Linked DNA regions of Saccharomyces cerevisiae S288C. The protein of the gene in region 3 purifies or fractionates together with the protein of the main gene of each other region. This does not show direct contact. Each region holds a gene or a part of one and is shown on either strand. Other genes may lie near its edges.

Region 1 (3,415 bases), on a different chromosome or scaffold from region 3:
TTTTAAACAAAAAGTAAATGGTTTTAAACGTTGGCAATAACAAGGCCTGCTCACAGCAAATAAAACGGGAATAGAACAGGAACGGGAATAGAACAAAGATAAGAAAATTGAAAGTAGAAAAGACAAATAGTGAGAAACAAAATGCAAGAGAAAATGCATCGCTTGAGCCCAATGTTCCTACCAATATTAAGGGGATTTCAGGTATCAAAGTCGCATTGACGTATAAAATACTCCAAAAAATGCGCTCTGTTTACTTTGTTATCTATGAAATGAGGAAAATGCAACCGGTGAGTGTAAAAGCATCCTGCAGGAATTTGTTACAACTTCATCTCAGTTACCAACATAGCCAACGGACGTCGATATTGTCCTTTACCCCACTGGTAGTGAAATACTTTCGAGTAAATGTCAGGACGTTAGAAATCATCCGAGTCATGCTTCGACTCCATGTATTTTTATTCTCTAAGTGTGCTTTGGAGTTTCCCCGCGAGTTCTCACAGAATTGGCTTTACTGCCAAAAGTTGAAGACAGCATAGTCATTGGCTTCGTCAAAAGATCTTCATTATTTAAAGCAAGCAATGATCAATTCTAAGACGGGTTAACAAAATATGGACAGAGCATCTTCAAGCAAAACTAATGCGGCAATGTTAAGCTTACATATATTCGAACGGTAATAACATCGATAATACGGTTATAGCCACCAACTCTGCATTATAGAAATGAGAAAAGCGCCATAGCTATTATTTAACGTAACTTACCAGAAGTCCTTGAGCAGACGATTGAGCATTGAATAAAAAATAAAATTCTTGTAATTCTTGGAAGGAAGAACGACACAAATAGATAAATGGCGTATTTTCTGAGCAATGAACTGTGTTCCATCAAAAACATTTTATCGCACACCATAGGCACTTAGAAAAACAAACCTTTGTGCCAGTATTTGAATGAAAACACTTTGGTTGAAATGTATTGTGAAATTAATCATCGAGCACTTTACGGTTGGCAACGACACATTACTGACGTTCTTTCGCCGATTTGTTACTTTAATATATTGTACAAAAATGCATCAAAGAACATAAAAGAGAGCGATCGCACAATCAAACTTCTTTTGGAAATAATCTGTCATCAATGCTCCAAACATTCTACTATCACCTGTTCATGATATTATGGGGAGAATATGCCAAATGTATATGACACATCGCATACTTTCTACCTTTTTCAACTGGCTTGCTTCCTCTACCTTTCACTAAAATCTGGATTGCATCTACATCTATATAGTCAAAACCGGCAAGAACAGAGATTATGATACATGCTTCATGTTCCATTGATTAGAATCCACTAGTATTAGCTCGCTGTTCAATTTTCAGCCCTCTACGGACTGTCGTCATTCCTAAAGGACGGCAAAATTTAAAAGTGAAGGTAAAATTTTTAAATTCGAAAAAAGAGCCTACTAACACGTTTCTATATAATACATAATTGTGTGAAAGTTCATACATAATTGAAAGCAAGCATCCAACCAGCCCAATATGTCTGATTTGTTACCACTAGCTACCTACAGTTTGAATGTTGAACCTTATACCCCGGTTCCAGCAATCGACGTCACGATGCCCATCACCGTTCGTATTACTATGGCTGCTTTGAACCCGGAAGCCATCGATGAAGAGAACAAACCATCGACTTTAAGAATTATCAAAAGAAACCCGGACTTTGAAGATGATGATTTTTTAGGTGGTGATTTTGATGAAGACGAAATAGACGAAGAATCCTCTGAGGAAGAAGAAGAGGAAAAAACCCAAAAGAAAAAGAAGAGTAAAGGCAAGAAGGCTGAAAGTGAAAGTGAGGATGATGAAGAAGACGATGACGAGGACGATGAGTTCCAAGAATCCGTCCTTTTGACTTTATCTCCGGAAGCCCAATACCAACAATCTTTGGACTTGACCATTACTCCAGAAGAAGAAGTCCAATTCATTGTCACTGGTTCTTACGCTATCTCCTTGAGCGGTAACTATGTTAAGCATCCATTTGATACTCCAATGGGAGTCGAAGGTGAAGACGAAGATGAAGACGCTGACATCTATGACAGTGAAGACTACGACTTGACCCCAGATGAGGATGAAATTATTGGCGACGACATGGACGACTTGGATGACGAAGAGGAAGAAGAAGTTCGTATTGAAGAAGTCCAAGAAGAAGATGAAGAAGATAATGATGGAGAAGAAGAACAAGAAGAAGAAGAAGAAGAAGAACAAAAAGAAGAAGTTAAGCCAGAACCTAAGAAAAGCAAAAAGGAAAAAAAGAGAAAGCACGAAGAGAAAGAAGAAGAAAAGAAAGCTAAAAAAGTAAAGAAGGTCGAATTCAAGAAGGACTTAGAGGAGGGTCCAACAAAACCCAAAAGCAAAAAGGAACAAGATAAGCATAAACCAAAGAGTAAGGTTTTGGAAGGCGGCATAGTAATCGAAGACCGTACTATCGGTGATGGCCCACAGGCTAAGAGAGGTGCCAGAGTAGGCATGAGGTACATTGGTAAGTTAAAGAACGGTAAAGTTTTCGACAAGAACACCAGCGGTAAACCATTTGCATTCAAACTTGGCCGTGGTGAAGTTATCAAAGGCTGGGACATTGGTGTTGCCGGTATGTCTGTTGGTGGCGAACGTAGAATCATCATTCCAGCACCATATGCCTACGGGAAGCAAGCTCTGCCAGGTATTCCTGCCAATTCCGAACTGACATTCGACGTTAAATTGGTTTCTATGAAAAACTAGTACACGCGCTCGTACGGATAGATGTTTATATATATTATTCTTTTTACATAATATTGTAACCTTCTGTATGTAAATCCGAAAACATTCTATTTCTTTTTAGTATCTATTGCTCTTTATAAGCTTTTCATTTTACTTTTCTCCGCGGATGATACAAATAAAGAAGCTGTGTTGTATAGAAAGAAATATATGGCGGCAAAAAAAGCGTTATCTTCTTTCTGTTCCTATTTCACTGAGTGCTACTGGATGGTCGTCAAGAAAGGTGAAGAAATCTTCAAAGCAATAAGAATTCAGACATTGACGTTAAATTAGATTATCGCCGCAGCTGTAATTGCGGTTATGGCCTCTAGTATTTAGTTCGATGTTAATGAAATAAAGCGCAAGCTGACTGTGAACGATAACCGCCAGGAAGGCTAGACACAGCTCTTCAGCTAAACAGTAGCCGGAACACATATACATTAGGGAACATTAGAAATAAGGCTCTCGTTGATCATCCTTGTAACTGAAAATTAGAACCGTTAAACGCTGCTGATTGATGGATTCCAGCCGTTCTCTTCCAACCCCTTTTACCCCGATTGTTCGTCCACTATCATGACTTATTATCCACTAAAGTGGCGTTGGCTGTACATTCGGGTGATGGTAGTATGGTGAGCACATGCTTT
Region 2 (2,743 bases), on a different chromosome or scaffold from region 3:
CTCGTTAAAAGCGATGCAGAGCCAACTAACTAAACTGCTAACCTCGCTTTCTTTACACAAGTAGTACTCAAGAAGTTTCATAAAATGCCCAGTTACACACTCGTGAAATGCACTTCAAGGTGGTGTTACAATTTTCACGAACTGCAACAATTGAGTATATTTATTAAAGCAGGAATATGTTTGCCCAATCAAACGTAATTTCATATATGAACATATATGAAGTTGCACACATCAGCGGGAAAGATGTCTCTACCGCTCGAGGAGCCACACGTTTGATTTGCAATCCATGAAATAGAACTGCTAATCCCATATACAATTAACTATATCAATTTCCTGAACAAAGAGATTACAATCAACGGCAAAGCCGCCTGCCTCTCCGGAGATCTCCTTTTTTCTTCTTTCTTTTGTCCTATGTTGCATAGTTGCTCATGTCTTTTCCTTAGGCGGACAATTAAGAGCAGCCACAATATTTCCAAAACTAAATTGCTAAAAAAGCGTAGCAAAAAATTCTCGTCATTCCCACTTTCCCTACCTTAACCCTTGATGTTAACGCCGTTTCGCTCATCGGAACAAACTATACAGATAATTAAGCTTTTCGGCAGCGGTGAGAAAGGAAGCAGCCAGGAGGAATACGCGGCTTTCTCGCGGAGCCCGATTGCCGATACAAAGGAACTGTTGCCTCCTCCCGGCTATTTCCATAGGCCTTCATTCAGCATACTGTTGTGTAGTTGCATCACATCCTTGTTGAATGAATTCCAACTATTTCGATAAACCATCCCATGAAGGAGAATGCAATGCGGCTTTTGTTTGTAAACGGGCTTGAGAGGTTCTATGCGGTTAATTCTGTCACTAGGGGTCCGAATCTCGGATTAAGTATAAAATATGTATTACCCTGATGATTGACCGGATGATGTAAGGATGCATGTCCCTACTGTTTTGGTATTTCCACATACGGACGGGGCCCCGAAACACCACCCCCATTTTAACGGCCGCATCTGAGCATCGGCCCATTTGGCACACGCCCGTTAGTGACGTTGGTAGGGGCATTTCCCTGAGGTAGGCCCAAGGTTGCTTTAAAAGGTCCATCGCAAACCCCTTGTCCGCGGACCTCTGCGTCATAATTAAAATGCCCAAAACATAAAAGTGATCGCCCCCTCACAGAAACTTATGGGCAGCTTGCTGCCTTAACGGAATTGACTAGAATTGGTTTGATTTTTTTTTCTTCCTACTTCTTCTTCCATTTCCCTCCCCTCTTCCTCATATATGTATACAGAAAAATCATACCCCTATAAATTCCTTGGCCCCAATCTTCTGTCAGATTTTCCTTTATAAAAGAGTCTTTGTTTTGTAATTAAAAGATACTTTTTTCTTTCTTCTTCTACGTCTCCTTTTTTTTTTTTAAGAAAATTTAACTTATACCACTATTTTGTTCGCAATTGATCAAGAAAAAATACAATTGAAAAGGTTTTACATTTTTAATTTTTCTGCTCATCGCGCTTTTTTAAAAGGATAAATAAACATTTCTTTAAAAAACATCTTCAATAAGAAAAATCGGTTAAAAAAACTTTTCTTCTCAAAGCATACCTAATAACAATATAATCCCATAATGCTAGCCCTAGCTGATAACATTCTACGTATAATAAATTTCCTATTTTTGGTTATTTCCATCGGTTTAATCAGTTCGTTGTTAAACACCCAACATAGGCACAGCTCCAGAGTAAACTACTGTATGTTTGCTTGTGCATATGGTATATTCACCGATTCATTGTACGGTGTCTTTGCCAACTTCATTGAACCATTGGCATGGCCACTAGTTTTGTTCACACTGGACTTTTTGAACTTTGTGTTCACTTTCACTGCCGGTACAGTGTTGGCCGTTGGTATCAGAGCTCACTCATGTAACAACAGCTCATACGTTGACAGTAACAAGATTACTCAAGGTTCCGGTACCAGATGTAGACAAGCTCAAGCCGCTGTTGCATTCCTCTACTTCTCTTGTGCCATCTTTTTGGCTAAGACCCTGATGTCTGTTTTCAACATGATCTCCAATGGTGCCTTTGGTTCTGGTTCTTTCTCCAAGAGAAGAAGAACTGGCCAAGTCGGTGTTCCAACCATTTCCCAAGTCTAATTGAAGCGCACCAACTTAAATTTTACGCCACTTTCAATTAAGAATATAATAAATGGACACCGTGAATAAATTAGGGAAAAAAGAAAGCAAATAAGAAAACTCCGTTTTCCCTCATCCCTTTCCGTCTTTCGGAAGAAACAAAAAATTATACCCAAGGAAAACCCGAAAAAAATGAAAAAAATACCAGAAAAAAAATAACAAATCATATGCACTTCTTCATTAACGATTATGAAGAAGTCTTATTTCTAACTAATATTATTATTATTATTATTATTATTATCATTCACCCCGCTTTCTTTTATTATAATTTGTTCTTCTAATATTTTAATTTTTAATCTTTTCATACTATTCTTATATCTAACTAAAGTATCCTTCTCTTTGTCTAGTTTTACTTCACTACATACCTGTTGCGTTGATTTGAGTTTTTTGTATGTAAGTTCTGTTTATCCTTTTTCATCCTACCGTTCCGCGCACGGCGTGACGTGGATCCCTAATGTGAGTTCAAATCGGTTACAAAAATTAATAGTTTTGTTTCCTATTATTATTATTATTATTATGTATGAGGAATCGTGCTATAAAATCATTTTCCATATGTATATGCCAAATATTTATTAT
Region 3 (4,435 bases):
AGTTCTACCGAAATAATCAAATCCAATTTGGAACCACTTGTAAACGTCACTGTGGATTTTGTGATATTTGTCACATAATTGTCTTGGTGTCACACCTTCCTCCAAAGCTTTAGTTTCCGTGGCAGTACCATATTCATCAGTACCACAAATAAACAAGGCATTATAATTACGTCCCTTACAGTAACGAGCAAAAATGTCTGCTGAAAGAACACTACCGATGATATTACCCAAGTGTGGAACGTTGTTGACATAAGGTAATGCCGAAGTGATCAAGATGTTTCTTTCGTTTGGCTTAGGCAAAATTTCTGAATCCTTTGGCTTAACTGTTAAGTCAGCTTGGATTTTCACTGCGCCGATGTTTTTGAAAGAAGAAGAATCACGTGGAACATGCTTTTTAGCCAATGCTACAGCGTTATGCACTTTGGATGGCAATTCTGGGAATTTAGAATGAACTAAAGAAGAATTTAGAGCATAAACGTTAGCAAACAGGATCAAATCTGTAGTAGTCAATGGTTCTTTTAATTCGACCAAGTAATTTTCAATGGCCTTATTTGTCAAAACCTCGACATGTTGTTGAGGTAATTCTTTATGATATAACAGGTTTTGTAAAGATGCCAATGCAAATTGATACTTGTCGGAAGTTTGACCTTCAAAATCATCCATGACATATCTTAGAATAGCGTTAGCATCAAACAAAAGGAAAGGTTCCTTTGTATTGCGCAATTCCATGGCAGCATTATCATTGTCAACTTCAGGCTTTAAATTTTTGCTTGCATATTCAAGTGCTAGGGCAATCTTCAAATTGTTCGCTAACTGCAAATGGGCAGGATGTTTCTTCGATTTATCAAAGGAAATGAGGAAAGACATGCTTGTTGTAAATTTCCGCTTTTTTTTCAAGTTTTATTCCTCCACAAAGATGCATATCAGGAAGCAAATCATCATTAACATTAGACATCGAAGAAAATTTGTCATCGTCTTTTTTTTTTTTTCGTTTTCTCTTTCGATAAGTTGCGTACAGAAATTTTTTCTGCCTCCGAAATCATTCGTGCCTCGTGATATTGAGAAGAAGTGACTATACTCGGGCAATGCATAAATGATCGTTTCGGCGGCTAACAAAGATAATCATAGCAAGTCGACAGATCGATAGGATACACCATTATCATCACGCTACGCGTTCTCGGGAAAGCTTTGACTAGAATATTTTTCAAAGTTGAATTATATTATGTTAATCTTTTGACTTCATGCCTTTTGAATTCCCCTCCATAGGTTCCCATTTTTGACTTCAACAATTCCTACTTCAAAATCCCTGGTTAAAGAAGCCTTTCCTCAGTTTGTACAACTATGTCCGCTGTAGCTAAAAAGTTAGCATAATTCATGTTTTATGCCTGAGACGTTTTAAACTAGTACTTAATCTCTATCAATAAACTTAACCCAGAAGGTCTCAAGATTAAACATGTTATTTTTTCGTCCTTTTATTGAAAAAAGTTGAAATAGCAGCGTCGGGTAATACCAGGAATATATTTTTATCGGCACGGCTACATAGCGAAGGGTCCATTAGTAAAAATGAAAAGAAATTCCACAAAGTTAGTGAGGGGAAAGTCCTACAGAAGGTCAAAACAGTTGCTACCGGGTTCAAAGTACTCAATTGAAAATAAACACTGCTACAAAAATGCATGCTACAAACTGGTTCGACGATTGGAACCCAGAAGCTCTTTATAGAGACGATGTCACTGGCTGCGATGACTGTTCCGAAACTTCGCCAATTCCAAAGTCTGGTATTATATGTGGACCGATATTAAGACTCATCAACATGGATTTTAAGGAAAAAACCTACGAGGGGTCTATTATGGTGGTAGTTAGAGGCGAGGAAAACTTTCCGAAAATTACCTATCAGCTAGGGCCCTCTTTGCCCTCTGAGGATGAAGACATCGAAGTTAACGAGGCATTCTTCGAAGGTAAACTTTTTCATAAGGACATTTTAAAAGATGATAATATATGGTTTTACAGGTATGAGATTAAGTTGCCCATGTCCAACTATGAGCAGATGGTAAAATATGCTGTTGACGGTACTATGGAACCACATTATAGGTTCTTCGTTCCCTCTTTCACTCAAAATTCGAACGTTATCTCCTATTCATGCAACGGATTTTCACTGAGCGTAGATACATCGAAATTCAAAGGTTCTCTATGGTATGATGTCCTTAAAAAGCATCGATACGTTCATTATCATGCCATTCTCGGCGGCGGAGATCAAATTTACTCCGATAATATTAAACTGCATGCGCCAAATCTTAAAGCTTGGCTGGAGACAAAGGACCCAATTAAGAAGTATAATACTCAGACCACTGAAGAAACAAAAGAGCAGATTAGGCAGTTTTATTTAGAACACTATTTAAACTGGTACGGTTACGGTCACTGGTATGGTTCTACCCCAAAATCCAAGACCACCCAAAAATGCTTTGTCAAGTCACTAGCTTGTATTCCTGCCATTAATGTCTGGGATGACCACGATATTATTGATGGCTATGGATCGTACAACGATTCCTTCATGAAGACTGAAAATTTCCTCACAGTGGGAAGAATGGCTTACCGATACTATATGCTTTTCCAGCAGCATGTCAGTGCTTCTAAACAAGATGGCGATGAGTATGCTTATCTCAAGAGCAAACAATGGATTCTAGGTAATGAAAAAGGGAGTTCTTATATCGGTGAAAGGTCTCACTCAATATTCTCTTGGTTGGGTCCGAAAATGGCCATGTTAGGGTTGGACTGTAGAACTGAGAGGAAATTACACGAGATTTTCTCAGAAAGAAGTTATTCCTTAATTTGGGAACGTGTCGAAAGGGAAATAAAAAATTTAAAAGGTGGCCACTTATTGCTGATGCTCGGTATCCCGATTGCATATCCAAGGTTAGTATGGTTAGAATGGCTTTTTACCTCAAAACTACTGGCTCCAATTAAATATTTATCTAAAAAAGGGATATTTGCTAGTGGCTTCGTTAACGAATTTAATGGAGATGTAGAACTGTTGGATGATTTAAATGATCATTGGTGCGCGAGACATCATAAAAAAGAAAGAAACTACTTGATAATGAAATTGCAAGACATAGGTGCTAAATATGGCGTCAGAATAACCATATTATCAGGCGATGTACATTTGGCATCTGTTGGGAGATTTAGGGCAAAAATTCATAGACACCATCTCATCATGTCTGAGGAGAAGGAAAAGGAAAACACCAGAATTATTGAAGAACCAACGAAAGACGTAAGGCTGATTTTTAATATCATTGCTAGCGCCATAGTAAATACCCCACCGCCAGATGCAATGGCCACGCTATTGCAAAAAAGATGTCGCTTGCATCATTTCGATTTGGAAACGGATGAAGATGCCGTACCAATTTTTGCCAAGGAAGTGGATGGAGTACATAAACGTAAAGAATCATGTTTCATGAACAAGAGAAACTGGTCAGATATTATACCTATAGAAAACCTGTTGAATAATCCCCAATTGAGTAAAGAATTAGGCGTAAAGGTTGGTGATATAGTCATTCCTGGTATCATCACAGAACAGCAAAAGCTACAGAAATTGGAAAACGATGACCAAATTAACTCTTATCCAGTAACTTCTGGTGGCTTGTTTACCACCATTCATGTTGAAAGAGATGCAAATCAAACAAACTCACAAACTGTGAGCTACTGTTTACCCATTCCAGAGTTAACAGTTACCTGCGAACGGTTGTCTCACAAGGGTATCAAACATCTGAATATCACATAGTTTAGTTTTGTGATAATTACAGATTTTTATTTAGCAGTTCAAACTTTTCTATTCATTACTAACGGACTGTCAAGTGCGATGCTGTACCGGAAGTAAATGTATATACTGATTGTTGAAAAAAAAAAAAGCTCAGTCGCGCGTGGCCTTTCTCTATGGAGATTTCTCAAACGATATTAATCCTGTATATCTCTATTAATTTAGTTAATACATACACGATATATCGTCGCTTTTATTTTTTTTTTTCAAATACTTCTTCTTCCTAAAAGAGTTAAAAACTCTTCTCTTGTTTTATGAGCCCTAAACCCTCCAAGCATACAAGAAGTTACCGTAGAAGATCCCGTTTTTTGAATGCCTCTTGAAACCATGCACATATGAGAAGCTTCCATAACAACGGCTACACCTAATGGTTTTAGAATATCACTTAGGGCCATTGCAATTTGCTTTGTAAGTCTTTCTTGAACTTGGAGCCTTCTCGCATACATTTCTGCCAATCTGGCCAACTTACTTAACCCGATGACTTTTTTATTTGGTATATACCCGATATGAACCTTGCCGAAAAATGGCACCAAATGATGTTCACATAACGAGTAAATTTCAATATCACGAACAATAACCATTTCATCATGATCTTCTTCAAAGACAGCATTCTTAATGACATCG

Evidence for each region.
Region 1: the proteins of YGR266W (region 3) and FPR3 purify together in Saccharomyces cerevisiae (affinity purification with mass spectrometry, with the first as the bait; one large-scale study listed by BioGRID). This does not show direct contact.
Region 2: the proteins of YGR266W (region 3) and NCE102 purify together in Saccharomyces cerevisiae (affinity purification with mass spectrometry, with the first as the bait; one large-scale study listed by BioGRID). This does not show direct contact.

The regions. Positions count from the first base shown.
Region 1 is NC_001145.3:119,430-122,844, reverse strand, and holds FPR3 (peptidylprolyl isomerase FPR3), read left to right. Parts: upstream 1-1,520; coding exon 1,521-2,756; downstream 2,757-3,415. UniProt on the Saccharomyces cerevisiae protein: Proline isomerase that belongs to an abundant class of enzymes that catalyze the cis-trans isomerization of X-Pro peptide bonds and can accelerate the refolding of proline-containing polypeptides. Specifically binds nuclear localization sequences.
Region 2 is NC_001148.4:828,312-831,054, forward strand, and holds NCE102 (Nce102p), read left to right. Parts: upstream 1-1,606; coding exon 1,607-2,128; downstream 2,129-2,743. UniProt on the Saccharomyces cerevisiae protein: Involved in membrane organization. Required for the formation of membrane compartments of CAN1 (MCCs), localization of CAN1 at the MCCs and subsequent invagination of the plasma membrane at the MCCs sites.
Region 3 is NC_001139.9:1,020,987-1,025,421, forward strand, and holds YGR266W (uncharacterized protein), read left to right. Parts: upstream 1-1,669; coding exon 1,670-3,775; downstream 3,776-4,435. Other genes in the region: methionine--tRNA ligase MES1, read right to left, coding at 1-867; FOL2 (GTP cyclohydrolase I), read right to left, coding at 4,018-4,435.